3 linked regions of the Tamandua tetradactyla genome follow. The protein of the gene in region 1 purifies or fractionates together with the protein of each later gene. This does not show direct contact. Links are inferred from orthologs where the notes say so. Each region holds a gene or a part of one and is shown on either strand. Other genes may lie near its edges.

The links.
Region 2: the proteins of ESYT1 (region 1) and ATL3 purify together in Homo sapiens (affinity purification with mass spectrometry; 3 studies listed by BioGRID and IntAct, with this or other methods). This does not show direct contact. The link is inferred for Tamandua tetradactyla from reciprocal best matches to the Homo sapiens genes ESYT1 and ATL3.
Region 3: the proteins of ESYT1 (region 1) and SYNJ2BP purify together in Homo sapiens (affinity purification with mass spectrometry; 4 studies listed by BioGRID and IntAct, with this or other methods). This does not show direct contact. The link is inferred for Tamandua tetradactyla from reciprocal best matches to the Homo sapiens genes ESYT1 and SYNJ2BP.

What each region holds. Positions count from the first base shown.
Region 1 is NC_135333.1:123,180,497-123,190,096, forward strand, and holds the start of ESYT1 (extended synaptotagmin-1), read left to right. Parts: upstream 1-5,439; 5' UTR 5,440-5,555; coding exon 5,556-5,945; intron 5,946-7,566; coding exon 7,567-7,608; intron 7,609-7,800; coding exon 7,801-7,935; intron 7,936-8,066; coding exon 8,067-8,140; intron 8,141-8,260; coding exon 8,261-8,333; intron 8,334-8,495; coding exon 8,496-8,585; intron 8,586-8,768; coding exon 8,769-8,824; intron 8,825-9,273; coding exon 9,274-9,397; intron 9,398-9,485; coding exon 9,486-9,600. Other genes in the region: ZC3H10 (zinc finger CCCH domain-containing protein 10), read left to right, coding at 1-1,172. UniProt on the Homo sapiens protein: Binds calcium (via the C2 domains) and translocates to sites of contact between the endoplasmic reticulum and the cell membrane in response to increased cytosolic calcium levels.
Region 2 is NC_135335.1:10,996,082-11,006,544, forward strand, and holds the start of ATL3 (atlastin-3), read left to right. Parts: upstream 1-6,222; 5' UTR 6,223-6,264; coding exon of another isoform or gene 6,265-6,406; 5' UTR 6,407-6,457; coding exon 6,458-6,536; intron 6,537-6,611; exon of another isoform or gene 6,612-6,788; coding exon of another isoform or gene 6,789-6,834; intron 6,835-10,463. UniProt on the Homo sapiens protein: Atlastin-3 (ATL3) is a membrane-anchored GTPase that mediates the GTP-dependent fusion of endoplasmic reticulum (ER) membranes, maintaining the continuous ER network. It facilitates the formation of three-way junctions where ER tubules intersect.
Region 3 is NC_135338.1:28,568,212-28,578,852, reverse strand, and holds the start of SYNJ2BP (synaptojanin-2-binding protein), read left to right. Parts: upstream 1-6,403; 5' UTR 6,404-6,538; coding exon 6,539-6,602; intron 6,603-10,641. UniProt on the Homo sapiens protein: Regulates endocytosis of activin type 2 receptor kinases through the Ral/RALBP1-dependent pathway and may be involved in suppression of activin-induced signal transduction.

The sequences.
Region 1 (9,600 bases):
TCAGGAATGTGTGCAAGCGAGGCAAGCGTTGCCGCTATCGCCATCCAGACATGAGTGAGGTATCCAACTTAGGGGTGAGCAAAAATGAATTTATCTTCTGCCATGACTTCCAGAACAAGGAGTGTAGCCGTCCAAACTGCCGATTCATCCATGGCTCCAAGGAGGATGAGGATGGCTATAAGAAGACTGGAGAGCTTCCCCCTCGGCTAAGGCAGAAGGTGGCAGCTGGCCTGGGCCTTTCACCAGCTGACCTACCAAATGGCAAGGAGGAGGTCCCTATCTGCCGTGACTTCCTCAAGGGGGACTGCCAGAGAGGAGCCAAGTGCAAGTTCCGTCACCTACAACGGGATTTTGAGTTTGATGCTCGAGGTGGAGGAGGCACTGGTGGTGGGGGCTCAACAGGCCCAGTCCCTCCAGGTCGACGTCATGATCTCTATGACATCTATGACCTCCCTGACAGGGGCTTTGAGGATCATGAGCCAGGCCCCAAGCGTCGGCGAGGTGGATGCTGCCCCCCAGATGGCCCCCATTTTGAATCATATGAATATAACCTGGCCTCATCCCGAGGGGTGGAATGCAGGTTGCTGGAGGAGGAGAATGCCATGCTCAGGAAGCGGGTAGAGGAGCTAAAGAAACAGGTCAGCAACTTGTTGGCCACCAATGAGGTGCTTCTGGAACAAAATGCCCAGTTCCGAAATCAGGCCAAGGTCATGACCCTGAGCTCCACTGCACCAGCTACTGAGCAGACTCTGGCCCCCACTGTAGGCACTGTGGCCACTTTTAACCATGGCATTGCCCAGACTCACACTACTCTCAGCAGCCAGGCTCTACAGCCCCGCCCTGTGTCCCAACAAGAACTGGTGGCCCCTGCTGGAGCTCCAGCTGCTCCCCCAACTAATGCTGCACCTCCTGCTGCTCCACCACCCCCACCCCCACACTTGAACCCAGAGATCACGCCACTGTCAGCTGCTCTGGCTCAAACAATTGCCCAGGGAATGGCACCCCCACCTGTCTCCATGGCTCCTGTGGCTGTATCTGTGGCCCCTGTGGCCCCTGTGGCTGTATCGATGGCCCAACCCTTGGCAGGAATCACAATGAGCCACACCACCACCCCCATGGTGACTTACCCCATTGCTTCCCAGAGCATGCGCATCACGGCCATACCTCACTGATGGGGCTACTGGACACTCCCCTGGTTTAGTCTCCCAGGGCCGGGGTCGAGGGAGCCTTATTCACCTACTTGCCTAGCCCTCCTAGGCTCTGTCTGAAGGGCTCACTCAACGACTAGGACAAGAGACTGCCAAGTGCTTCTGAGAAAGGGTTGGGCTGGTGTGTTTTCTCTCACCTCCCTTTCACAAGGGTCCTCTTTTCCATCTTCCTTCAAGCCTCACAGAAGGGGCTTGCATGCAAGTACAGACTGAAGTCAGCAGAGAGGAAAGACTGACTGAGGGGCTTTGGGTTCTGGGATGGGAAGTTGGAGATAACCCTGGTCTTATCCTCTCTTCTGCACAGCCCAGGTTCCAGCACTGGCTTTGGAAGGGGGGGAAATAATACCTATCTAGAGGGAAAGCCAGGATAGATTGGGAAGTAGGTGGCCAGGAGAAAAGACTGGATAGGAACCTTCAGACAATTTGGGGCCCAGTCGAGCTGGACAATACAGAAACTGCCCCTGAACCCCTGGGAAGGCGAGGACCATAGTACTCCAGTAACCCAAAGGCTAGGGGAGCATTCTTTACCTTAGCTTGGCCTGGAAGTTCATAGGGCAGGGCCCACCACTTCCAAAGAAATAAAATAATTATTTTTAACTAATGGAGGCAGTGGAAACTTACTTAGATATTCTTTGGGGGAGGATGGGAGCAGTAGGTAGATCTCATGCTACAATGTGCTAGAGACCTTCATATAGCTTGGGTAGGGTTGGATGGACTCCAGTGAAGATAGGTAGGCACCCAGGAAAAGACCAAGTAAGAAAGGCATTTGTTAGGGTAAAAGCATTGAGAGCCACCTGGTCTATTTAAAAATAGCCCCATCTGTTTTTGGTCTCTGCATGTGCTATTCCCAGGTTGCCTTGGTAACCAGGGCTCCTAGGGTCATTTAGGGGGGCAGGTACTGAGGAGGGTGGGTGCTGGGAAATGGAGATGGGATGATATGTAGCTGGCACATCTTTCCCTTACTCAAACAGAGCAGGACAGGTGGCAATTGCCTCTGAGTGCTTGATGGCAGTTAATGCCTCTCCTACCCCATCCCTTCCTCAGTGACCAATACCTTAAGCCTTAAAGCCTTGGAAGATGCTGGGGAAAGGAGAGTTCTTTTAGGGACATAAACCTCCCTTTGTTCCCTCTGCCTCCACATGGGACCAGAGGTTTTAGTTTTTTGAACCTAATGGCTGTTGCAGGGGAAACAACTGAAGTGTCTGGTCTAGTGAAACTGTGATTTGAGGATAGAGAAAACAGTTCTGGGTTGTTCTCCCCCATCATTTCTCCTACCTCCTGCTCTCTCAACTGGTTGATCACTCAGGTTACACCTGGCATTGGAAATCCTGGGCTGGGTCAGGTCATTAAAAAAAAAAAAAGCCTGGGCCTAAAGAGGAAAAGCTGACATATATTGTTTGTGGATTATAGAAACACATTGATAAGTTTAATGTTGATTTTCTGGCAAAATTCTGGATTAAAAGAGATGGTTTATGAGCATTTAGAGAAGACTGTGATCATAGATACCTACACGAATTATTTCCACTTAAGTCCTGACAAACTGACTTTATTTCCTTTTTGCCAAGTATCACTAAAGAGGTAGGTTTTGGAAACTAGACATTGTATGTCTTGTTTCAATGCACTCCAGCTAAAGACCATAAGGAACATATCTGTAGTTAAGCAGTTGGGCTTAATGATCATTGCAATGAGGAAGAACATATACTATGGGAAATTGTGCTATATTCCAGCAAGTAGTTGTTAAAAAAGACTTACAGCATTGGACTTCAAGTGATTTGGGGAGGATTCAAGGAAGCAGAGGTTCACTGTTGATTGGTGCTGTCAAAGAAGTGGGCAATTCTATAATTCGGTGTCTTAATCTTATCTGGAAAGAGGGTAGACTAGTGTGAGGCTAATGCTGTAATTAGTAAAGAAGCAGCAGTTACTCAGCTGGGAGGCGGGATGTTTGTTACTTTGTGGTTTGCACACTGACCTTGTTTTGTGAAGTGTTTCTGTGTCCATCATAGTCGCTTAGTGACCTGTTTGATATTGTTGTGCCCAAAAGGACAACACGATGGCCTAGCTGTGAGTGCCAGGTCAGCCCCTTACAATATAGTAACCTGCCCAGCATTCCATAGCTACTAAGGAATGGAGCCAGGATTCTGAGGCACTCTGGTCCCAGACTTGGCATATTTAAAGTTCTAATAGAGCCATTCAATAATGGGACCACCAGTTTGTGAGGAATAATACAAAAAAATTTTTTTTTCAAATTTCCTTGCCCCTTTCATTCTGGTGAGTGGGCTGGGACCAGAGTACCACATTTGATCTTATTCCTCCCCAGGAGTATATTATAATTGCAGATTGCAAATCCAGGAAGTTTCAGTACTCTCAATCATCACTTAGGCCCCGCCCTTTAAGAGGCTTCCTTTGACAAAAGGCCATCTCTTCCTATTGCCCACTTACTGCCTATTACCACCAGGTGGCATCCAGGCAGCAGTATTATCAAAGGCCTGGGCCCCACCCTGTTTTACTTCTGCCTGCATTGCAGCTGCTGATTCTGTGGCTCCTGTGCCCCAGCAGGGTCTAGGACTTACTGGAGGTGAGCCTTCATCCCCCTTCCATAGGGAGATCTAACGATATGAATGGGGTGAGAAGTTTGGAAATCACCCTCTGTAGGTTCTCTGTCTATTCCAGTGCTTAGCAAATTTCAGTTTATAGAGAGGTTTTCCTCTAAGAAGGCTCATCCATTTTCATGTTACAGTTCTGCTTCATCAGGAAGTGAGCAGATAACTCATATCTCCAAGCTCTCTGGGCCCTTTTTCTACCTGCTCCCTGACCTCTGGAGATATGGAGGATATGGGAGGCAGATGGAAATATGTTTTATACAATTCTGCAAACTGAATTAAGCAGTCTAAATACTGCCAGCCCCAGGAGGAAAAGGGAAGTGAGAATACTATGATTAACGGAGGGTGCTGGGCAGGGTCAGGTTTTAAGCAATTTTAATGCAACAACCTGAAGAAATCTATGCCCTGCAGAGGCAGCTAAAATGTATCAGCTGCCGATGTACTCTCTCTGCAGCAAACTCTAGTTCCCCTGCTGCTTCAACAGAGTGAAACAATAAGCCCCGCATGTACTGCATTAAAAGGTCATCTGTACTTTATGCCCAACCCTCCCCTCTCCTGTATCCAATTAGTCTCGTTTCTAGGTTCCTGGACAACATCCCACCTTCAAGGCCCGTTAACTAGCAACAATGGTTATCATCAGTGTATCCTGCAGGGTTCCCTTCAGGAACCTGTACAGTACAGTTAGTTCTACACTTGCCTATATTCCAAACCTTTCCAATTTAGGCAAATGAGAAACTGAATCATCACACTACTCTTGATTTCTCAGTGTTCTGGTAGCTCTCAGGTTCAGGAAATTCTTGGAAAGTTATTTCTAGGGCAGTTGAGCTCCCCTCTTTTTTTTTTTTTTTTTTTTTCTTTTAGCCCGTTTAGTTTTAATCTGATCTCAGTAGTGATAGCGATAGCTAACTCTTGGAAATTTCCAAAAAAGATAAAATCTGACTTCCTATTCACCCTTCTGCTTTTTTTCCCCCTCTGAAGGTTGGGTCATCTCAATTTTGTAATCCTCTGGCTCTCCAATTGTCTTTAATGTCTGTCATTCTGCACAGACAAGTTAGGGGACTTGGGACGAAATAGAGAGGGGGATCAGTCATTGAACGTTTTCATTCCAAATAGGGTAATTTCCTTTTCTTTTGTAAGGACGGCCAGAAAGAAAATGAAGGATAAGGAATGTGCTTTCAATATGAAAGCTAGGGAACGCTGACAAATGAACATATGTGAAACCCAAAATCAAATCCTTCCAAACAGTCCGAATGGGATGGAAGGAAATCCTAACGCTCCACAACCCCCCAGTTTCGCAACTCCAGCTCTCTAAAACGAGGTAATTGGCGGTGCGGTTCTGCCTGACGTCATACCACAGGCACTCCAATCCCACGTGGGGGGAGCTCGTGGTCCCGCCTCTCCTCTTTAAATGGTATACCACGCCTCCTCCTCTTCCTGGCCAATCAAATGCCGTGCTTTAGGCCCTTTCCTCCTTTTCCCGCCATCCCGGACCTCCCATCTTGGAACTCTAGTCCAATCAAGAAGGCCCTGCGCCGCCGAAGCCCAGTCTCTTCGGGGCGGAGTTCCGACCTTTTGACTCCTCCTTGGTGTATGGGGCGCGGACCAACCCGAACCGCCAAAGAAGAGGGGCGTGGCTTGACGTCCCCTCCCCCATCCTGGGGATCACTGTTGCAGGGGCAGCTGGTTGCAGGTCTAAGCCACCTCCAGCCGGTCTCTGGCTCGGACGGGTCTTCCCTGAGGTGGCACCATGGAGCGCTCTACTGAAGAGGGCTCCGGCCCCAGCCCCGTGGACCAACCCTCTTCTCCTTCCGACCCCCCTGACCGGCCCCCCACTGCCCACACAGAGCCGGACCTGGGTTCTGGGAGTCAACCTGTCGGCCCGGGGGCAGCAGGCGAGGCCCTTGCGGTGCTGACTTCGTTCGGCCGGCGGTTGCTGGTGCTGGTGCCGGTCTACCTGGCCGGGGCAATGGGACTCAGCGTAGGTTTCGTGGTCTTCGGTCTCGCCCTCTACTTGGGCTGGCGTCGGGTCCGCGACGAAAAAGAACGGAGACTTCAGGCAGCGCGGCAGCTGCTGGATGACGAGGAGCAGCTCACGGCGAAAACACTGTATATGAGCCATCGAGAGCTACCTGCCTGGGTGAGCGGCCACCCTCATCCCTTAGTGCAGCATAGTCCCTTTCCAGCCCCTCAGTTCTGGGGCTTTCCCTCCCTATCCCTTAGGCAGCCCCCATCCCTATGCTGAGTGGGCCCCAGACTTTCCCCTCTCGTCCCGCTTGCCACCTCTCTGCAGAGACGCGCCACTCTTGGGACTAACTGCCCACTCCACCACCACCCTCTTCCCTGCCATTCCGCACGCCCAGAAGCTCATCCTTCCACAGAACCAGGACTTGTTACTCCACTCTTAGGCAAGAGGACTGTTAACATCTGGGGACCCCGTCTCAGCCGAGGCTGCCTCCTAGCCAAGCGGTCTGGAACGCCCCTCCTCGCTTCTGATGCCATTCGCGCCTTATGCAGCTCCCGGGCTTTCCCATACCGGTTGCCGCTCCTAGGGCTTCCTCGCCTTTTTATGCTCCTTAAGACTTTTTACCTACTTAAGACCATTAGGTTTTTCTTCCTTTTGCCGTTTTCTCTCCCGGTACCCGCTGAAAGCCTGCCGTTCCGAGACTCCACATCCGGACGACCCTCCGGCCCGCTCCTTCCAGCCTCGGCTCGGCAGCCTGGCTGCAGCGCGGTGGAGGCGATTGCTGGACGAGGGGCGGGGTGCGGGGAGGAGGATGGTGCGGCTGCTGCAGTGCCCGCTGCCTACACTCCGCCCCCTCTCTGCCCCACCCTTTCCCGACTGTAAGCCGCGCTCTGTTGGGGCAGGGACCCTTATCTCTGCACCCCCTCTCCTGCGGTGAGGAGACCGGATGGCTCCTTTTTGTTTGGCGAAGCAGAGCTCGCTACCGGCCCCTCCCTGCTCCTCCCTGTCCCTCCCTTCATGCCCCTTCCAGTAGAAGTGCCACACTAGGGGGAGAATGGCAAAAGAGAGCAATCAAAGCTGGCACTAGGCAAACACAGACATGCTTCCCAGGCCCTGGGAAGGGAGACGGGGAGAGATGATGTGAGGGGACTTGTAGCCTAGGCAGCAACTGTCTGTTCCTCCTACTCCTCATCATGGAGCTACTCTTCCTCCAGACCCCCCACCCCCATATAAAGCACAGGTGTCCTTCTTTCGCATTAAAGAAGTCGCTGTTAAAAAGAAAGAGGGAAAAAACCCCACCCACCATCATGCTTTACTAGTTCCGGTCTCTCCAACTCAAGGAGCTGCTTCCCTCTTCACCTTCTTGATATAGAAACCTCAGTCACAGGGAGGAGGGAAGCCTGGAACAAGGAACCGGGTCTTCTCCAGTCCCAGGATTCCCTCCCCAAACGTTTATTCATTAGGGCCTCCCCTCCGGGAAGAATGTGCCCTTTTCCTCCTCCTGCCGACTCTGCCCCAGCAGCTGTCGTTTTCACATCTCTAACCTATCCACAGAACAACTTGTGTACTGTACCCTGCCAACTCCCTTGTTAAAGAGGCCTCAGTGTCCCCAAACCCTCTGGAGGAATGAAACTGGGGATACCCCCTCCCCCAACCTCCCAGCATCCCCCCTGGATGTGAGTAGGCCCTTCCACAGTTTGGTGTTCCTTCTCTTCTGAGGATGTACCACCCACTGTCATGGGGGGAAACCACAGGCCAAGGGCGTATTCATCACTGTCTCTGCCTTCCCCACCAGGTCAGCTTCCCGGATGTGGAAAAGGTTGAGTGGCTAAATAAGGTGAGGGTTAACTGTCCTCAATTTTATTTTTCATGAGGAAGAATGGGGATTGGGTCCTCCTGCCCACCTTGGCCACTCCCCAATTCTAGCCCCAGCCTAGTCCTGAATGCTGTGTGTGGGGGGGGGGGGTCTGAAGACTCTTGTCTTTAGAGGGAAGGTTTGTGCTCCTATGACCATCTCCTTTCCTCCTAGATTGTGGCCCAGATCTGGCCCTTTCTAGGCCAGTATATGGAGAAGGTTCTGGCTGAAACTGTGGCCCCAGCTGTTCGGGGAACTAACCCCCATCTGCAAACATTTACATTTACACGAGTGGAACTGGGTGAAAAGGTGTGTAGGGGGGAGAAGGGAAAGTAATGAAAAGGAGGAGATGGGACTGGGAAGGTGGGTGGCTGAGAGCACACTGAGGTGTTCCTCCCTTTCCCTCCCCTCTCTATTAAGAAGACTTCATCTCTCTCCAGCCACTCCGTATCCTGGGAGTCACAGTTCATCCTGGTCAGAGCAAAGAGCAGATCCTTCTGGACTTGAACATCAGGTAATGCTGCTCTTCCCGCTGCTTCATGAGTGGAGCGCTGGTCGTTTCTGGCTTCTTCATCCCCCTCTCCACTTCAGATTAGTACTAACCCTCCTTCTACTCTTCCTTAACCAACCCCAGCTATGTAGGTGATGTGCAGATTGATGTGGAAGTGAAGAAATATTTCTGCAAAGCAGGAGTCAAGGGCATGCAGGTAGGACATATGCCAAGGGTCCCACAATAGGGGAGCCTTTTCCCTAAGTTTCATGGGCTATGGGAAGTTGGAGGTTGGAAAGAAGAAATGAGGCTGGGAAAGTCTTGGAGGGGTGAAGAGGCTTTTCTGGGGAAAGGCTTTCATCTTCTCTTCTTGCTCCAGCTGCATGGTGTCTTGCGGGTGATCCTTGAGCCACTCATCGGAGACCGTCCTATCGTGGGGGCTGTGTCGATGTTCTTTATCCGACGCCCGGTAAGGAGAGACGTTGAGAGGTGTGAGGAGGCAGGGGGAGTGGAGAAGAGAGGTAGGATGAGGGTAGCCAGCTATGGGAAATGGAGAAAATTAACGAGAAGCCTGAGGGGTCTGGCAGCTGTTCGATGGGTGAGATTGTACCACCACATGATCTGTCCTTATTCTCCTTCTCTTTCCTTCCAGACCCTAGACATCAACTGGACAGGGATGACCAACCTGCTGGATATCCCAGGACTCAGGTAGCAAGAACTGATTTGAGCATCTACTAAGTTTTCCAGCCCTGAGTTGGAGGTTCAGGGGACACAAAACAGTAAAAGCAGTAGCTTGTTCTCTCCAGGAGTCTGTACCCTAGTTGGAGAGATAAGACAAATACCCCTAAAAATTTCATACTGTGATTTTCTTTTTTTCTTGGGTGGGCATGGGGGTGGAGGTGGGGGTGTGTTGTTAGAGAATGAAGAAGGTTGAGGACTGCTCAGTGGGGGCAAAAAGAGGAAGAGCAGAAGATGGCAGTGAAGTAGGGATGGAGCAGTCGGTGGGAAATCAGGGCAGAAGAGCAGCCAAAAAGGAGCTACAAGATGGGATGTCCCCCCAGCATTAGGCCACTGCTGGCTGCATGAAACAGAGTTGGGAATAGGGAAAGATTGGAAGTTGGGGCCATTCCCACCTCCTTTTCAACTCCCCTACATAGCTCACTTTCTGACACCATGATCATGGACTCCATCGCTGCCTTCCTCGTGCTGCCAAACCGATTATTGGTCCCCCTAGTGCCTGACCTCCACGATGTGGCTCAGTTGCGTTCCCCTCTGCCCAGGGTATGTTCTTTCCCCCATACGACAGATCCCTCTCTCAGGAACCCTGTGCTGGCTCCTTAGTTTCTTGCCATCTGATTCCTCCCTGCAGGGCATTGTTCGGATTCACCTGCTGGCTGCCCGAGGGCTGAGCTCCAAGGACAAATATGTGAAGGGCCTGATCGAGGGCAAGTCAGACCCTTACGCACTTGTGCGTGTGGGCACCC
Region 2 (10,463 bases), on another chromosome or scaffold:
CACCAGCAGGCAGACGCCTATACAATGGAAACTAAAGGCGGCTTTGCAGCTTCCCTAGTTGTCTTTCAGAGATGGAAAGAGAAGGGGGTTCAACCAGTCCCTGGCTTTGTCTGAATTTTCTCCTCCCTCCCCCCATACTGCAGTAAACACCCTCTTTTGTTACACTGCGGTCAATAACAGCCCAAAGAAAATATGAAATCAAAACATATTGGTGGCTTGACATTACTCCCTATTTATTATCTTCTGGAACATTAAGCGACGGATCGCAAGCTCCCACCCCCAAGCCGCGCCGGAGAAGAGCAGGTTGTGCTGCAGATGCAGCCACGGATCCATCATGGACGGACCATCAACAGCTCCCTCCCAAATCTTCCCTGAGCCATTCTCATCACGCTTTCTCCTACCTTGGAGCCTCGGGGAAAAAATCAGACTCTGTATTACAGAGTCCATAAAAATTAAAAAAAGCAGATAAAAACAGCAAAGAAACGTTACAATGTTCCTATTGAACGCCTTCATCCACCCCACAGGCGACCAAAAAGAAAAAAAAAAGATCGAAGACTACAATGAATGCCTGATTATGTCAACACCTGCCCGCAAATCTGCAGTGCAACCCTTTCACCACCACCTGCGTCAAAATCATGCCTAATTATTTCTCCTATAGTCAATCCGCCCGCCCCAATCCTCTTCATACCCCCTTAGTCTCTTTAACCCTCCTGGACAAAATCACCCCCGTTCCGTAGATCGCTCTATCGCCCTCCATAATCCCACCCCCACCTGCCAGGCCTTTGCGTTAACGCCCACTTTCTAGACTACCTCCCCGCCCCCAACCTGTTTTCCACACACCCCGTTATTTCCTCACCGCTTGCACGACCTAACTCTCCCCTCCCCCCGGGCCCATTTTCCCAAACGCTTATCCTCGGGGGCTAAATCCACCAGTAGCCGAGGGTGAGTTGCCTTTTCCCTACTGAGGGAAACCGCCACGGTCCCCGCTCTAGGGCCCCCGGTCCCAGCTCGCTCACCCTCCCCAAGGCGTGGGCTCCCCCAGGGTCTCCTTACCCGCACAGGAGGATCCGCAGCTCCTCGCCCCCAGGGCGGGGCAGGCTCCCGGGCTCCCGCCGCCGCTGGGCGCGGAGGGCTCGGCCCCGGAGGACGACGAGGAGACGGACGGGGACTGGGTGGCCGCCGACAGCTCCGCCATGGCTGCGTGAGCAAGGACCGGAGGGGATAAAGAGAGATGTGGGGCGGGAGATAGGGAGGGGAAATAAGATTATCGGGTGGCTGGCTGTCCGAAGTCCCTTCACTGCTACTGCTCCGGGGAAAAGACTCCGACTGACTGACTGACTGACTCAGCCGAGGAACAGGAGGGCGGGAGCGCGAGCGCGCAGGCGCACAAAGGACCCGCGAGCGTGCGGCGGGGGAGGGCAGTGGCCGAGCCGAGGCGCCCAACGGCGCAGGGCGCAAGCGCAAGAACTGCTCCTCCGCGCTCCCACAGGAAAGGAAGGGCAGAACCGGCTTCACGCGGCGCCCTGCCGGGGCGACCGGAGTGGGGAGCGCCGCTCCGGGACCAGGCGCAAGGGGCGTGGTCAAACTCAAGCCCCGCCCACTGCCGCAGCCCAAGCCGGTGAGGGGTGGCCTTCGGGTGTTTTTCCTCATGTCTATGTAAATGTTTTAGGGGCGACTGTTTTTGTATTTTGTAGGGCAGAAGTTTCTTTTTGCTTACACTAGCTGCAAAATATATTTTCCATAAATTCCAGAGACGATGCCTCTTGTCACAGCGAATCCCTCCTGGGACGCCTATGAAAACTGACCCACACTGTTGAGTAGGCCCAGGCTGCAAGGTGTTTTATGAATTTATCTGCATGTGTCGTAATATCGGATCACCATGAGAGAGGAGGCACGGTCTCTCATTTGGTAGGTGGGAAATGATGCCGTACAGAGTGAAGAATGATTTCTCATTCCAATCACATTACATTGCAGCCTCAGAACCAGCTTCTTACCCTTATCTTGTTACTATTTCAAAGAGGGGTTCATTGTAGATGTTAAGTTGCCCTCTTCTCCCAATAGCTTCTCAGATAGGGCATATTTCGAAGGAAGAAAAAGGTGAGCTGGGTTGGTTGGCTTGTCAAATTCAAATCCTTCTCCTTACATCTGGACAAAATATTTGAAAGGTACATAATCCTTTAAATCAGGGGAATGTGTCCTGGAAATAATAAAATTCAAGGCTGTAGGTTTTGTTATTGCTCAAGCAGCAATCAATGATCTGAAGGATAATTGCAGAATCAGCAGATCCTGTAAAGATGCAAGCTCATGGTGGGGTGGGGGTGGGAGCCCTGTTGTCAGCTGGGAGGGAAAAGCATCTGACTGGTGGAAATCTTCTAGAACAGGTAGTGGACTATGTCTGCCCTTGATAATATTTAAGGTTAGGTAAAATCCAGAGAGAAAACAATAACAACAAAAAAAATTCCTGGCCATTGCAACATTCTGAAAAAGGCACAGAAGAAAATTTCCCAAAATAACTTCGTGGCAAACATCTTAGTCTGGCACTTACAGTAGCAGCTGATAATGCAGCAAGCTGTCCTTTAGATGACAAAGGGAAATATAAACCGATCTGATAATCAAGGCTGCTGTATATCCACTGGGATAAACGCATAAAAAAAAGAAATCTATGTCATTAGGTGCTTGATAAAGAAATGAATGATGCTGGTCCCTAATCCTTACTACAACTGCTAGAATCTGGAGACCTGGCCTGGCAAGGAAGCCCATTTCCATGGGATCTAGAAGCAGAGAGAAGAAGCCAAAATACACATTAATGTGGTCTTGGTGATCTCTTCCCACCCTTCAGAGGCCTTTGTGAAAGGTTCAATTGCTGAAGCTGACTTTCCTTCCTGTTCTTTATTGCTGTACCAGTCAACTTCCCCAAAACCTGATTCCTGCTTGGGAGGTTTGCATATTTGTATATATAATTTGTTCCACTAATGTTTACTGACCACATGCTGTGAGTATAACACTATGCTGGGCACTTTGGAAGGATCCAAAATATGTATGTTGTCCTGTCTTCAATGAGCTTACAAGCTAGTTGGGGCTTACAACTTACTCACATAAAATTAAATCATACAAATTAAGTAGCAACCCAAAACAGCCTCAAATAACACAAAACCACAGTGCTATGATTAGGTGGCAAGTGAATGGTATTAGTTTAAAAGGGGATGGATCACCATGGAGTTGTAGTGGCTTGGGAAGGTTTTATGAAGAAGCTCAAGCTTAAAAGATGGATAGGAGTTTGTAATAGTGAAGGGGTCATCAAAGGCAGGAGAGGATGGTGTGGACCAGAAGGAGGGGCTGCTTTTGTGCAAATATACGATAAAGGCACTTCACTGGGCAGATGAATTACAAAAAAAAAAAATGCATCCCTTTCACCCAGCAGATGCAGTTCTATGCTGACTTGTCTGGAATAACCTAGGTTCCATCCACTCCTGTTCCTCTCCTCCCCTCCTCCAAGGTATAATTTGTCCCTTGGTGGTACAGACTACACAGTCGTATGGTGGTGGCTGGAGGCTCAGAAATGTGAACAGTGTGTAGGAGGTTTGGGGTGTGGTCAGACCAGATTTGCTAAAGCTGGGGGCTTGAATCAGGACAAGAGGGAGATAAAATGGGGACAATTTGTTGGGGTCAGAATCTGCAGAAGCATTCACAGTGCATTAAGGAAGTGAGGTTTTGTCTTAGAGCTAATGGGGATTCAGTAAAAGGTTTTGGGCAGGGGACGCTCAGAAAGGATTTTTAAAGTATTCATTGGAGCATCCACTTCTCAGGAATTCAACTAAACAACTTGTATAGATTAAGCACTGTGCTAGGCCTCTTCTTCCTTGGCTTTGTCCTTACAGGACTCGTATTTACTCAGTTAATTTCCCACCTCAACTTCTAGGCCATCTCGTTACCCTATTTTATACATAAGTAAAGTAAGGCACAGATATTTCAATGATGCTCAGGAATGCCAGTTCATCCCTTATGAATGCCCAGACTATTGCTTGAACACCGATTCTGCAAGTAGGAGATAGGAGAGATGGTGAACTGAGCCCCAGCATAGTCACAGCGAGTGGTAATCCTTTGTTTACTTGACTGTTTACCCCACCAGACCATGAACCCTGGAGGACAGGGATGTGTCTTATGCATTGTTGCAGCATTACTGCCCAGCACCCATGCCTGGCCTATAACAAATGCCCTATTTTTGGAAAGCTTTGAAACCTGAGTCATTGTGTATGTTTATTGCAGAAAATAAGCTTGCTATTCTTGTACATCATAAAATACTTTGAGTGTCTTGAATATTTATGACTTTGTTTTGCTTTTCCATAAAGAATGACCATCAATTTTTGAGCACTAACCACACATCGGTCATCATTTACATCACTTATAACTCATTTAACTGACAACTCTGAATCATTTTGCAGCTGATGAAATAGGTTCAGAGAGGCCAAGTAACTTGCCCAAGATTGCACAGCCCGTGAGTATTAGAGCCAGAATTCAATGCCAAGTCAGTCTGACTTCAATGCCTGTGTCCTTAACCACTCAAACATGTCTCAACGTTACCTACTTCTGAACAACAGAGAAGGTTCAGCCTCCTAGTCAGACTACATGATTCAATTCAGAGTGAAACTGCTTAAGGCAGAAAGGCTGCAATCAGTATCATCAATATTTAGCATTTTGCATGTTCATTGTTTTGATGTCCTTGGGTGATTGAGAAGGAAATAAGAGAAACAACAACAAACAAACCCCACATTTCCTGTTTATAAGGTTTACTTTCTAAGCTGTGACTAATCTAAAGTCCACCACCTATAATTTGTACCATGTTGTTCTAAATGCTGGGAAGCTTGTATCAGGTATGGGGAAGGCTGATGCAGTGCTAACATTGACCCTGAGGATGTCTTCATATTGAGAGAGATATAATGTCAGTATTTGCTTTCACCTCCTGACAGGATGGACTGAGAGCCTTCAAAATAGAACAGGGCATTTTGTTCAGAGGTAAAAGGTACTTAATAGTAAAGGAATAAGGAAGTGAATGAGCCACGTTAGGTGTAACATATACCTTCTACTTCTTCATTCATTCATTCATTCAGCAGATACTTGAGTTTCCACTATCTCCCTGGCAATGTCTGAGGTATTGGGGAGGAAGGAAAAAAATCCTCTTTTTAGAATTTACATTCAAGTAGAAAGAGACATACAAAACACTAAGTAAGTAAATTAGATGGTAAGAAGTCTTATTGGAGAAAAGTAAAGCAGGGAAGGTGAATAGGGAATCCAACGGTGAGTGTGCAATATTAAATTCTTGCACAGTGTGCTGCAATTGTGACAAGTCATTGACCTTTGACCCCTCCTTTCTCTTTCTCAGCATGCCACATAAAGCCCTGGATGTGTGTCACAACCTACAGGTCCTACCTTCTGCATGCCAGTGTGAATCCTCAGTAACCATTTGCCCTGATACACACTTCTAGTTGTTTGCTGGCCCTAGTTGGTCTAGATCTGATCTAGACTTTTAAATCTAAAGCCCAGAAGAGGGTATTCAGATAATCGAGAGTTTGAGAAAATCCTAAGGTTCAGGGGTACAGAAATCAAAGAAGGATCTCCTTAGGTAGGATTAAGTAGAATTGTTTACTTCACCTTTGTCCTAACCACTCAGGAATAAAAAATATTTCAAGGGCATGGGAAGGCCTACAGTTGGCTGAATACAGCTCCTGGGTAGGTTATAATAGTCGAGGCAGAGGGAGAAGTAAGTGGAATAATCTGTCCAATGAATGAGGCAAAGTTAAGCGAAGAGGGTGACTGGGAATGGATGCTTTAGTCTCCCATAAGCGCCAACTATTTAGCCCCGAGCTACCCCCACCCAACAAACCCAAAAAACAATATTGTTCAATAGTGCCAACTAACGTTTTCTTAATCACAGGTAAAGTGTGAATTTTAGCATCTTCGGAGAACCTTGTTCAAAATTTGTGCTTGCAAAAGTCCCTGGAAACTTCAGGTTTACAAAAGACAGCCGTGGCTTGGGCTGGGCAAAGCCGGAGGAAGGGGTCGCACTGGAAGTTGTTCCGGGCCCTATTAGAGTGCTTACGATACAACATAGGCTCGGTCAGGGCAGTAATATGGGCTGCAGCTGATGGTGGTAATGAAGTCATCAGCTCCTCTCCTTGTGAAGTCAAAATCATTAAAAATTCAATGCCATTCACGTCACCCAGGGCTGAGACCTCTGTCCGGTCCTTAGGGCAGGGTGCCGCCTACCTGTGACCCGGGCCAGTGTCACACACAGAAACAGCTCCAAACGCCGCCAGCAGGGACCAGAGGCTGCTGGGTGGATGGGTGGGGGCGCCGGCCCGCCCTTCCACGCCTCCGCACAGCCTGCTGGGAGTTGTAGTTCAGTCATGGAAAGACCGCTCCGAGTCCTGCCTTCTCTTCCGCTTCCTTCCCACCCCAGATGAGGGGGCCAACCTGGGATCCAGAGAGTGCGGGACTACAATTCCCGAAGGACCGTCGCCTCCAGCGCCCAGCTCCAGGTAGTCGGCGGCGGGCTCCGCAATCTCGCGCACGCGCATCCGCACCCGCACCCGCGTAGCGGGAGTTGGCGGGACCCGCCCAGCACTCGCCTCTCCTCGCGCTCCGGGTTGGGCTTTGCAGACCCATTCTGGCGGCTCGGCGCGCGCCTCGGTCTCCCCAGTTTCTTCTAGAGCCCAGGCCCCGCCCAATTCCCGCCCCAGCCCGCCCCTCTCCTCTGCGCCCCTGCTGCCTCTGCTTAAGGCGGAGGATCCATGTTGTCCCCTCAGCGAGCGGTAGCGGCTGCCTCGGGAGGAGCAGGTGAGGCGCCCAGTTTCCCCCCCCCGGACTCTTTCCGTGGTCACCCCCGTCGCCTTTCCTGGCGCAGCTCCCGGGGAACCGCCCGCGCCGCCGCGTTTGCTTGTCACGGGGCTGAGCCCGCGCGTCCCTCGCCGGGAGTCCCTCGGCTAGAAGTCGGTGCCGCGGCTCCTCGCGGGATTCGGCCAGATGGCGCGCGGGCGGCGCCTTCCTCAGCTTCGGGGCTCGGGCGGGCCGCTGCGGGGAGGCCGCCAGCGCTGCTCCGGACCGCCGCTGCCCACCTGGGGTCCCCGGTGCCCGCCCGGGGACAGCGCCGAGGGCCGGTGGTCCCCGGGGGCGGCGCCCTGGGCAGGGCCGGCGCTCCGGGGCTCCGCACGCTCTCGGGTCGGGAAATTTGGGCCTTAACGGCCCAGGATGGAGCGGGAAGGCAGATGCTTTATTGTTCAGCATTTATTGAAGTGTTGAAAGGCTGCGAAGTGTCTCACAGTTGAGAGCTTTATTTTTATCCCAACGACCTTGGGAAAAGTATTCGGAAACTTGTTTTTCAACCCGCATGTATAAGGAGATTAAAGAACGTGGCCTTAAATGGGTTTTGAGTATGTTCTTTTAGTTCAGTGCTTCCCACCCCCCCCTTTCTTGAAGACATTAGCGTAGGAAAAGTATCGAATAAAAACCAAAAAGGGAGTCGGCACAAATTCCTGGATGTGACTTCGGCTGTCCTTTTACCAGGCTTTAGTTTTGCTTAATCTGCTGTGCGCTGTTGAAATTGGCAGCGGGTTCATTTGGGAAATAAATCTAAAAGAAAAAAAAGAAAGTGTTTGAAGAGTCTTTTAATGAGTAGATCCCAGTCCTCAGACCTGACTAGGAAGTTGGGGGAGATATTTTGTGAAAGCCCGAAAAATTCTAAACAGGAGTCCCCACTCCCGACCCCCCCTCCCCCCGGCAGACGACAACAACAAAAATCCGTGCCACTGCACATCACTTTCTTCTGGGTGAGAGACAGAACCTTCGTAGTTATTCTATCTTATGTATCCAGTATTCGGCACTGCAGGGTAGTCCTGAAATAAACGAATTTTTCCTTATTCCCAGCCGTACAGAAACTAGTTTATAGTGTAGAAAAGCCCTTTAGTGCTTTAACACCTGTAAGGGAAAGCATTTGCTGAAGCATCGTACTAGTAAACATTATTTTACTAACTACTGTTTACTCTGTAATAATGTAATTAAGAAAAATATCAATAGAGGATCACTGATGGATAACATAGTTTTCTTAATTTACACTAAATAGGGCTTATTCGGAATAGGCCTTTTAAAAGAGCTATTAAAAAATGGGTTTTATATGGTGCAGCACACATGTTTTTGGTTTCAATAATAGACTAAAGAATATGCCCACCCTCATTATTTGAAATAATAGAGAATGGCATGAAGCAAGAAATAAAAGTCCCCTCCAACTCCCCAGTTCTCCTGTGTAGCCATTTTCAACAGTTTGACCACAGATTCTTTTAAGATTCCCATGAAGTCCCTTAGAGAACAAAAGGTGTGTGAATTTGTTTCAGAACTGGGTTAGAATTTACCTATTAATGCAGGCATGCCTGTTGAAGTTCTTTATGGCTTTGTGTTTGATATTGAGAAAGTGTTCAAGTAACACAACGACGTTTTAGTTTGAATTTTAAAACATTTTCCTGAGTTATCTTTGAAGCTGTAGGAGGTATTAGCTAATACACACTAAGGGGGAAAAGTAAGACGAAAGCTTTCTTTGGGAAAAAAAGGCTTTCAGTCCTTTCAGGCCAATCCGTTTAGAGCAGTGATTCTCCTTGCTACTTTACATTAGAATCACCTAGAGACTTCTGCCAGTGCCACTCACATTTTCTGATTTAATTCATTCTGGGGCCCAGCAACAGTTAAGAAAAAAAAAGCCCTAAGTAATTCTAATTTGCATATTAGTACATAGTCAAATTTCCTCGTAGGTAGTTAATTAAATCTGAGTGTGTTTACTTCAATAAAGTATAATTTGTAATGATCAATATTTTTTCCTCTTAAAATTATTTTGAAATAATTTCAAACTTTATCAATATTGTATTGAGAATTTGATGCTCTTATGTATACATTTCTAAAAATTGTTTTTTATTGACATGCATTTTGATACCAGTAAACATGTCATGTTTATTTCCCAGCTAAAATATATTATGAATAAGGAAAAAAGCTTTAATGATATAGTAGGTGAATATGCAAAGAAGTAAGAGTAAGTGTATTTATACGCTGAAGGGGAAACAAAGCCAAATAAATATTGCCAACTGAGAAACCCTTATTTAACTAGAACGCAGCTAATTATAACTTTCAGGTAGCCAGATTGATTTTGATGATGTCCTCACTTTTGAGAAAGAGGCAAATAATATCACTTGTTGAACTCATTCTTTAAAATTTTTTTTTCTGTAGTAGGCCTGCAAGCATTTTTATATTCCTCTCAGTTTCTGCATTTTCAGAATCTTTAATACTGTTTAGTCATAACTTACCTTCATAAACCCATGAACCATAGCAGAATTCTCAGTCAACAAAGAAAATGTGTTTTTTTCCAGTACTGTGTTGTGGCGCAAGCTTTTCCAGCAAGTTAAGATAAAGCTTCCTTTTAAACTCTCCAATTATTTTTAGTATACAAATTTTCCCCAATATTCTTTTTAGTTGGGCTTGACTAGTAGTTTCACTGAAACAAGCTTACAGATACATGTGTAAGCACGTTCACTGCTGTAAGACAAACTAGAGTATATAACTTCCCCTTCCTTCCCCTCCAGGAAAAGAATCACTCCCAACAGATCTTGAGTTGGCTGAGAACTTAGTATACTTAACCTTGCACATATGGTGATGTGTTTTCTTTGGCTTTGTGAATTAAAAAGTTTAAAGACTGCCAGCAAGAAGAAGGCATGAAAATGGTATGCCTCTGTTTTTTGGGTTTGTTGTTCTTGCTTTTTAGAGAATGTGGTATTTCAAACGGAGAGTGGAAAACTGAAGTCATAACTTTGCCCTGAGTCATGCACGCCACTCAGTGTTCCTTTAACTTTAGTTAGTTTGGTTTTTGGAACTTGCTGGACAGAGTATTGAGCCTGGCTCTACCCTAGTAGTTCTCAATGCAGGGGAATTTTGCTATCACCACCCACTCCCTCAGGTGATGTCCAGAGACATTTTTGGTTGTCACGACCTGGGGGGTGGGGTGGGTGGTTATGTGCCACAAATGTCAAGCTGATAGAGGCTAGGGATGCTGCTAAATATCCTACAGTGCGTAGGATAGCCCCCTAATAAAGAGTTTTCTGGTCCAAAATGTCAGTAGTGCCAGAGTTAAGAAATCCTGGTCTACACTGATGAATTGATTAAGTTCTGTATTAATTTCTAAAATAGCAATTGTAACTGCTTCCAGTTGGCTAGTTTCATCGAATTTATCACTGTTCAGTCTTCTCAAATATTTGAGGGACATTTAAACCTTTGCCCAATAATGCTTTTCTGATAGAATTTATTTCTTAGAATTTATGTTATTCTACAGGCTCTAAAGACCAAGGATGATTCAGTAATCTCATCCAGTTTGATTCAATATGTGCAGATTTACAGAATCACACAAACCTGCTTTTCTCCTTGTGTGCAACTAC
Region 3 (10,641 bases), on another chromosome or scaffold:
ATGAAATAGTGTCATCAGAGACCAGAAGTAACAAGTTCTAATTTTAAAGAGACTGTTGCCAGTGAAATACAGTCAAAGATTATAAGGTTTATCCATTTCTTAATGACGGCACAACATTTTCTTTTGACAGTCTGAAAAAACTAAGGCTGCCTTTTAGAGCCATACATTGTGGAGTTATCCTGAAGGTAACAGCAATGTCAGTGGGATTATGTGAGAGGAATAAAGGTAGCGGAGCAAAGAAATGATGGTAAGGGACAATTTCAGTGCAATCTGAGCAAGTGACTGAATTTAAGTTTCACCATCACTGAAATCCATTCACTCACTGGAGGCCTGTTTTATGCTGGAAACTTTTCCAGGTACTGAAAATACAGCAATAAAAAATGTATGGGGACAGATGACCAGCAAATACAAATATCTAAAGCAAGAACAAACACATTTTATTAACAGAGAAAAGGTCAATGCAAAGTAGTGAGTGAGGGAAGAGTGTTGTAGAAGTAGATGAATTTGAGAGGGAGACAGAGGTCAGATATTGTGGAGCCTTACAGGCAACATTACAGACTCTGACTTTTATTCTAAGTGAGATGGAATTGATTGAAGGATTTTGAACAGGGGCATGACATGATACAATTTAAATTTTTATCAGATTGTTCCAGTTGCTATGGGAAGAATGGGTGGTAGGGGCTGGAAGGGGAAACGGCAGTGGGGTAAACTGTTTAGAAGAATAGCAGAAGTCCAGGCAATAAATATTGGTTTTGATTAAGACAGTATGGCTGTGATGGTCAGATACAGAATATATGAGTACATAGAGATAACTGGGCTTTCTGATGGACTACATGTGGGGTATAAAGGAAATAATGGAGTCAGGAATGGTTTTTAAGATTTTTATGTAAACTGGGTAAACTGACTTATCTGGTAAGGGGAAAGACTAAGAGAGGTATAGATTTTAGATATGGGGATTAGGTATTCTGTTTTTATTATAACTACAGTTGCCTATAAGGTATTCAAATTGAGATGTCAGGTAGGCAACAGGGTTACACAAGACTGATGCCCAGTAAAGAGGTCAAGTTTGGTATAATAATGGCCTTTACTGTCAGGGAACTGAATTTCATTCCTTATGAAGAGAGGGTATGTATACAGAAGAGAGAAGAGTATCAACTAGAAAAGGTAGGGAAGCATCTTCAGGACCGTGGCTTAGGCAATTGTTTCTCAAACTTTACAACCAAAGTACAAGCAACAGAAAAAATAGGTAAATGGGACCTTATCAAAATTTAAAACTTTTACACTTCAAAGGACTTTATCATGAAAGTAAAACAACAACCTCATTTTTCTTTGACTTGAAATACAAACAAACAAAAAAAAAAGTAGAAGGAGGAAGTCAAGACCACTTAGAATTGAGGCAGGTCTACATAAAAATGGAACAGAGAGTACAATGATTTCATCTCATGAAGGAAATGACTGAAATAAAATTTCACAAGCCTTCATGTCCATAATAAACTATATTCATGTAAAAACTATCAATGTACAATTTTTATCAAAAATACAAAGTCTGGATTTTTCTTCTTAGGTTTATAGTAGATTGCCAAACCTCGTATAATCCATTTACTTCTACAAACCTCTCTATTTAACAACACATGCTATACAAGTACCTACATACATACTGTTACTTTAAGAATCATGTTAAATCTCAAACTAGCAATATACTTTTTCTTTTGTGTGTGTGTGTGTGTGTGTGTGTGTGTGTGTGTGTGTGTGTGTGTGTGTGTGTGCATGGGCAGGCACCAGGAATCGAACCTGGGTCTTCTTCAGCACGGCAGGTGAGAACTCTGCCTGCTGAGCCACTGTGGCCAGCCTACTAGTGATATACTTTTTACCCATTATATATACGCTTTATTTTCATCATAAGAAACTTAAGATTTTCCAAATGGTACATTTTAGAAAACGTTGAAAGAGTTTTTAATCAACATATTACATAAAAAAGAATCTTGATTTTTAAATGAAATCTTTTTAGCATTGTGGCATGATGGGTTTAATTTAACAGCTGAAGCATAAATACAGTGATTACATTGTACTGTTTAAACTAATTTACAGCTATAGGAAAGTGATTGATTTTTAAAGTATGCTAACATGAGACTGGGTAGTAATGAGCAGTGAAATACTAGAAAACTAATACTGTGCTGGTTTGAAAGGATTATATGCCCTAGAAAAGTCTTGTTTTAATTCTGATCCAGTATTGTGGGAGCAACCATTTCTTTTAATCTCTATTTAGTATTATAGATTGGAAACTCGATTAGATTATCTCTATGGAGATGTGACTCACCCATTTGTGGGTATTAACCTTGGCTTAGAGGGAGATGAGACTCTACCAATTTCAGGTGGGTCTTGATTAGTTTGCTGTAATTCTTTAAAAGTGGAAGCATTTTGGAGAGAGAGAGAGCAAACGAGAACCACGAGAGTCCAGGCAGCCTGAGACCTTTGGAGATAAAGAAGGAAAACGCCCCTGGGGGAGCTTCATGAAACAAGAAGCCAGGAGAGAAAGCTAGCAGATGTCACCATGTTCGCCATGTGGCTTTCCAGTTGCAAGAGAAACCCTGAACTTTATCGGCCTTTCTTGAGTGAAGATAACTTCTTGTTGGTGCCTTAATTTGGACATTTTTATAGACTTCCTTTAATTGGGACATTTTCACAGCTTTAGAACCGTAAACCTGAAAAATTAAATTCCTTTTTTAAAAAGTTATTCTATTTCTGATAAATAGCATTCTGGCAGCTAGCAAACTAGACCAAATACATAAGATGATTTTTCAGCAGTGGCCATTCATTATTTTGCGTTTATGAATCTGTAAGAAATTGTCTTAAATTTCAAATGTTCTGCTAATTCTAGTCCTTTCTTCGCTTCCTCAATATCACCTTTTATTGCTGAAATAAGTGATTCTAAAGAATCAAAGTTCTTTTATGGTCTGAGTTTGCCAACAGCCACCACATTGAGTATTTCCTCAATTCCTCTTTGAAGGTATACCTGATGTGAGTTTCCATGGACTTTTTCGTATTCTTGTATTATGGGTTCCATACTATGCTCACTACCATCTTATAGACATCTCCACTTCCATCTCTGGCCCAACCATAATAAATGACATTGGCTATATCAGCTGGAAGATTATCTACTTGTTCAGTAAAGTTAACAGTGGGGATACCCAGCTGCTTGGAACCAAGACTGAAGCCCCACCTGGCTGTGGCAGAAGTAGGGCAGGTGCCTCATGATGCCAGGTGCTGGTGGTGCGTGTTCGGCCCAGACCTTGGGTCTGGCTGGGTCACCGTGTAGGTGATGCATGAGCTCTCCTGGACCAACCGGAGGCCACGGAAAAGAGATCGGCCACTCGGGTGCACAACTGGCTGGGTGGCACCGAGGAAGCACCCTGGTGGATCGCTCATGTCACTGACCCAACAGAAGCTACCGGGCGCTTGGGAGGTCACGTCTAAGCCCCCAGGGGCAGCGGCGGCGTTAAGGGCGGGAATGGGCAAGGAACACTACTCAGGTGGGCCGGCAGCACGGGAAAGACCCGATCCGCCCGGATGCTGTAAGGCTCGTACACTCCCAGCCCTCTTCCTGTTAACACACTGTTTCATTTGGCTAGAATTGTGGCAGATAGGGAAGGAGGGAGGGGAAGGTGACTTTATGACCCATCACTAGCAAAGAGTAAAACAACAGGAAGTTCCTTTTGGTACATGAACATCTACTCTTCACTCCAGTTGGCAATGGAAAAGAACCAATGAGAAATGCTGCTCTATCCTTCGTCAGCATAAACAAAAGGGGAGGGGTCCCTCCAAGTCCTTATAAATGCAGGAATCCCAACCCCAGTAGACACTCGCCCCCTTCAAGCCAGTACTTTTGCCACTTATTAAACTTTTCTTGCTGTTCACACTGACTAGTCCTTGAATTCCTTCCTATGACTTAAAAATTAGGCTCAGGGCGTCAGCCCTGCTTGAGGTCTCCACCTCTTGGAGAACTCCTGAGGGCTCTCTGGCATCAGAATGACCTCCTCTTTCTTTGTCAACTGACACATTTATTCTTTTAAACCTGACTCAGCCATGACTCTCCAATAAAATTTTCTCTGTCACTACCAGATTTACTCCCAGACATGGTGAATTCTTACCTAGTTCAGACTACTCTATATTTTTGCTTCTTGTAAATGCCTTTATTACTGTAGATATCCTACCATGTTAACATAATTTGTAATTTTACCATTCTACTTCTTTTTCTAAACTGAAAGAGACGTGCACAGTAGAAGATGTTTTTTTCCTCTTTTCTTTTTTTAATCTTTTAATTTTATATCTACAGCATCTAGCATAATGCCTGACACATTATCAAGTGCTTAATAAATTTGTGTTGAATCAAATTAACTGAGCTGTTTTCCTGAGGAGAACTGGAAGTGAGGATGTTGTGAATCTGATTGAGCTTTTTTTTTCCTGACTGATTTTTAAGTTGAAAAAATAAATTTTAAAATTTCATCTTATTTAATTCATTCAACAGTCTTTTAAAGAGCTATTATCACACTCTTTCAGATGGGGAAACAGTTCAGAGATGTTAGGCTACTTGCCCAAAGCAAACAACAGGAAGGAGAAGGAACTGAAACTTGAGATCATGTCTTCTAGCATCATCTCCTATATTCTTTCCATTATCCATACTAATTTCTTTCAGGGTTAGCAAACAGGTTTTCCTGTTGAATGCCTCTGTCTTGTTTTGTTTAGTGAATACAGTTTTTGGTTTGTTTTTTTAAATCTGAGTTTGAATTCCTTTATGTTGGACTTCAATTTCCAATCCTTCATGGTCTGCACCAATCCCTAGAGTCTAGCTCAAGGCTGTGCCACACATTCAAGTCACCTTCCTGGTCCTTACTGCTTTTGAGTTTTTGACTATAGCAGGTTCCTTTAAGCTGAATCTGGAATGTCCTATCCCAAAAGTCAGGAGGGCTGGGCTGAAATCACAACAAGGTAGTACATATATAGTAAGGGTAAATTTTTAAAAGATTTAATTTTTCTGTTGCCAAAAGAGAAACGGACATTCCCCCTCTCTCTTAGAGAATTTGAGAAAACTTGTCATTGTAAATCCTTCCTCTGTCCCTTTGATATGAGTATAAATCTTTTCAAAAGCTAAATAAGCCTCTCGCTTGGTACATCCCAAAGATATTTTTCTTAAGGGTCTGGGAGCCAACTCTTTGAAATACATATATCAAGGATGATAGTATCTCTATCTCCCATCACCAGAGACGCTGTTAGTCTATGCACCTTCCTCTAAGTGGTAAGTACTTGCTTGTCATCAGGATAGGGAAGTTTTATTTTTCATTTATTAATTAATGCAGACGGCCACCTGCAGAGTGCATTACCAAATAATGTACACCAAACTGTATTGTCAAGTAGTCTTACCTGAGAACATTCATACAATGAACTATATCTGGGCGGGGGGGGGGGGGGCGGCACAAAGCTACACCAGACAAAGTTAAGCAGACAAAGATGACTTATTTAGGGGCTACCATAGCAGGAGAGAGAGAGTGGAACTCAATTCCATCTAAGGGCTGGGAGTCAATTGGAAGAAAAGCACTGGAAAATAGTAAGAGAGATTGATCACTGGGGTAGGTGAGCAATTAACTGAGGTTGCATTTAGGGTGGTTTGATTCCACCTAGATAAGTAAGGGATTTACTAATGTTGCCATTAGGACTACTAGGTCTGCAATGTTTTCATTTGCGTTATTAGGTGGCCTGGAGCCTAGAAGGGCCGGGAAAGAGAAAACGGGCGAATCCCTTATTGAGTAGCCGTGTGTGAGAAAGAGAGAGACCGGGCGGTCCGGGCAAGTTTGATATTTAGAATACAGTCCGACGTTTTCTTTCTTTCTTTTTTTGCTTTCCCCCCCTGCAGTCCGAGTTGTTTTTCTCTGCTGACCCTCAACTCCAAAATTAGCTTCAGGATAGTCAGGGGCAGGAAGCGGGTAGGGGCAAATGAAGGAGTAATGCTGGCAGTTTGGTCAAGAGAAAGGGTCTTGATTACATCTGTTTGGAAATATAAAAAAGTGAGGGTTCTTTCTGTCTGCAATCTCATTAGCTGCCTGCTTGTAATATGCATTACAGACAGATTTAATACTTATGAATAATAAAACACTTTTTCATTTCTATTTTTTATGGAGATTTTCTAGGTTGGCAGGGTATTTTATTTTTACTTTTTCCCCAAGCATAACACTTCATTTCTGTCCCTTACCTTTCCAATGCCTCTCCATGCTTTCAACAGTAAATCAGGATCGCAACCGCTCCCTGCTCACCTCAGGTTTGGCTTGGAAGAGCGGGTGAGGCGACGCACCGGGTCGGGACGAGAACCACGACTCCCAGCATTCCCAGCGCTCCAGGCACCCCCCACTTCCCCTTCCGGTCCGGAGGCTGTTGAAACCGAAAGTGCTGTACCATAGGCGGGTGTAAAGGGGTGACTGATTCACCTTCACCTGTAAGGAGCTCTACCTAACCCAAGTGGGAAGCCAGGAAAGCAAAGCAGTAAAACATGAATGGAAGAGTGGATTATTTGATCACTGAAGAAGAGATCAGCCTTACCAGAGGACCTACAGGTATGTGCCAAACGGGTCCTGCCTGAATTGGGGACTTGGGGGTATAAGTGAATAGCAGACGCTTCTGCCCAGCCGGATTCACTTGGTCTCGGAGCTTGCAGGCCCCAACCTAGAGTTTTCCTGCAACGCTTGCCGGTACCTAAAAGAAATATTTTGACAAACATCGTTGCCCAGACACGGGACTCAGCAATTCATCTCATCTTTCACTCGGATTACCCCGCGTATTTGAGTTAGGAAAGTTTTTTTTTTCCCCCATTAACGGGGCAGAAAAACCTAGAAGAAAAGGCACACGTGTTTTTAAGCCAGTTTACCGTGGATATCACACCGTTCTTTCCGTTGCCTGCTCTATCCCAGTTCCTATGAGGGACCATTTAGTAAAACTGGGAGCATGAACGGTATGGATTCGGAATGCATAGCTGTTTTCGTAGTGCTAGGATCTCCTCTCTTTTCTTTTCTGGGAAAGTCATTTAGAGCCTCAACTAGAATGTTAAAGCGGAAAGAAGCCTGAGGGAACTTCTGTTATAGCAATTCTCAAACCTAGTTCCGCCTCAAAACATCCAGGGTTTTTTTGCCCCCCCCCCCCCTTTTTTAAATAAAAACGTCAATTTCCGTTAGGGATATGAATTCAGTGTGGATTTTTTTCTTCTTTTTAAACAACACCGCATGTAATTCTGATACAATTCAATCTACGATTATCCCTGCTAGCCTCCCTCTTTCTCTCAGCGCTCACCCCTGCCCCCTTCCCTACACACACTCTTAACTCCACTGGGCTATAAATAAATCATCAAGTCCTATGAGTTCTATCTCTGAAATGTTTCTGAAATCATTCCACTTCTTTCTGTTCCCATCATCACCTCTTAGAATTTTTCGATAGCTTAACCATTACATTTATTTGTAATAAAATGTGACTTTCAGAATAAGCCATACTTTGTCTTCCTGTTATAAAAAATTAGAAGTAGACTTTACTTAAGAGAATATCACACTCATAGTTAATCTGCTCCATTTGAGCTCCTAAACTTTTGTCAGAGGTTCATTTATTATGCTCAAATCTCTTGAATTCATTTTTCTTATTTTATGTAAATTTCTCCTCTTATTCTTAATAGTTATTGACTTTTCAAGGTAACATGAAAGTTATTATTAAAGCAACATCTGTCTTTCTTTGCTTTTCATCTGTTGGCCCTAGTTCTTTTCATAGAGCCAATGAAAACAATGCAGACCTTAACTTCTTAGTGTTAGCATTTTTCTGAATCATTGGAGTTAAAATAAACTCCAGGGCACTACTTAAATGGAACAATTATATCTAGCTAATTAGAGACTCAGTTTCTCTATTGTATGTGTATTTATCCACAATGAATGAATATATCCATGGTGTGGCTTCTTGAATTTTCCTAAGCATTTTCATGAGAGCCCATGAATTTAAGAGCTTAGGACAATAGCTCCTCAAAACTAGTATTGAACCTGGATGAAGAAGTCATTGGAAGTCAAGGAAAGGTCAAGTTCCTGTTTATCACTTTCCAGAGCTGGCTACGTGGTATGTGGTACTCCCGAGAAGTCTAAGAGTCAAATTCAGCTTTTCTTCATTGTATCATATGAAAATATACAGGGAAGAACTCAGTTATCACTAGAAACTTCCAGATAATTTTGGTCATCCCATAGGGATCTTTCTTTCTATAGAAAAATAGGAAAAGCCACTGGTTACAAGTATGCATTTCTGTTTGTATGCAGCATTCTCACTTCTTATGATATCCTACCAGGAATCCAATAGTTTACTTTTGCAGCACGTAGCTTCTACTGTTTGGGCACATTTTGCAAGGCAAAAGAACCTATTCCTCCCTGATCCTGCTTCTTGCAAGGGAAATAATGAATGGCAATTAATTGAGTGTCTGGGAAGACAAGAAGAAGCTTGGCATCTATCTTGTGCTTACTTCCTCAACTGAAAGGAAAGGCTTGGTCTAGAAGACTTCTGACGCTTCTTCCTACTCTAACAGTTCATGATTCTTTGGCTTATTCCATATATTATTATATGATTCCTACCATTTTGTACAAACTGTGGTTGATCTGAAGAATCCTCAAAGGCAGTGGTTACAATCTGAAGTGCCTTCAAGGTTTGGACATTGACCTTTTATCTTAGTTTGCCAGAGCTGCTATGACAAATACCATACAGTAGATTGGCCTAAATAACAAGCATTAAAAAAATTGTCTCATGGTTTTGAAAACTTGAAGTCCAAAATCAAGATATTAGCAAGGCCATACTTTCTCCTGGAATGGGTAGCAATTTGGTGATGGCATTCCTCTGTCATATGGTGTTCTGCTTCATTCTCTCCTTCTGTGGCTTTCATTGACTTCTGATTTCCCTGAGCGCTTCAGAATTTCCTCTTTTAATAAGGTCTCCTGTCATATAGATTAAGGCCTACCCTCATTCAGTTTGATCACACCTATATAAGGACTATACAAGATCCTATTTTCAAATGAGTCCACTTCTTGACTCACTTAACATTTTCAGATATATCATTGACATCTGTGTTCACACCCGCTGGAATGTTGATTAAGACTTGAACTAGTCTTTTGTGAGGTATATGATTCAATTACCAACAGCTTTTATTCTTTGTGGAATACGTCACTTTTCTTTTTGTGGGAGCCCAGCTTGGTTATAGTCTATAAAGCTCCCTTTTTTTTTTCCTGTCTCAAATTGAGAGTTTCTGATATTTGAATGTTGAACTCAGTTATTCTGAGAATTAAATCTAGCTTTTCTTTACTCGAGCAAGTAGAGGTTGGCAAGAAGACAACCTCTTCATTTAATAATAAATAATTAACAAAGTATGTCTTTTCTCACAGTGTGCTAGTTATCTTATATATATTAACTCATTTAATCTTCATAACAACCTTGAATGATGAGTGTTTAATCCACATTATTAGATGGAGGAAATTGTCTCTCAGAGAGGTTAAGCACTTGCCTAATGTCTAAAGCCCGAAATTTTCAAGAGCCAGGATTTTAACCCGGGTCTGTTGATTCTGTTGTACCATATACTGCCTTCCAGTGTGGAACCTGTGTCTAAGGAATTGACTGCCAACCTTTCCCCTGACCTTTATTTTATTATCTCATGGTCTTATTCCCTGAAGGATTTGAGGCAACGTAAATGACTGTTGAACGCAATTCACAGTGGAAATTTTTTTTAGTTTACTATGGATAGAGCTGAGGGCAGATCAATGTGAGAACCTGAGAATAATAAACCCCATTAAGTTCAACTCTTTAAGCCTCTGCAAACATGTTCTTTGGCTTTAAGCCTAACTGAGACTGCTGCTAATAGTATTCTGATTTCTTTCTTTCTTTTTTTTTTTTTTTTACATGGGTAGGCACCGAGAATTGAACCCGGGTCCTCTGGCATGGCAGGCAAGCACCACCATGGCCGCCCCTGATTTCTTTCTTAATGTATGGAATTATCTGAGATCAAAGACTAAAATTCCATACGTTGCCCTATTTTCTCATACTTACATAGAGTCTAGCCTTCATGGAATTTGCAGTCGAATAGAGACATGACATTCACATAATCTCAGTGCAAAAGTACAGATGGTTAAGAATAATGATGAGATGTCTGGAGTGGGAGGGGAAAAGGAGTTGTAGAAGGGAGATACAAGTGTGTTTATCTGATTCGGTACTGGAAAATTTCAAGGAATGGAACCATTGCTATGGACCAAAGTGTTCAGTCACAAAAAAATGGAACTTGCGTTGGTCTTATAGAATGGTCAGGCATTAGGTTAAAGCCAGGGATGGGAGTGGATATGACCTCAGTAATAATAGAGAGAAGAGCATAAGCAAAAAGTATTCTCAGATCAGTGAATTAAGCAACCTGGATAGAAAGGAGGGTTCATTTAGGTGTATCAGTGGAGATAAGGTTGCTAATGTAAGTTTAACATTTCTCTAGGGTTCCATCTTGATTCTTTCCTCTCTCTGTTCATTGGTTAAGATGCAATTCAAGAATCACCTCCTCCAGGGAGCCCTCCTTACTCAGTCTAGATTCCCCCTTATTGTCCATATCAT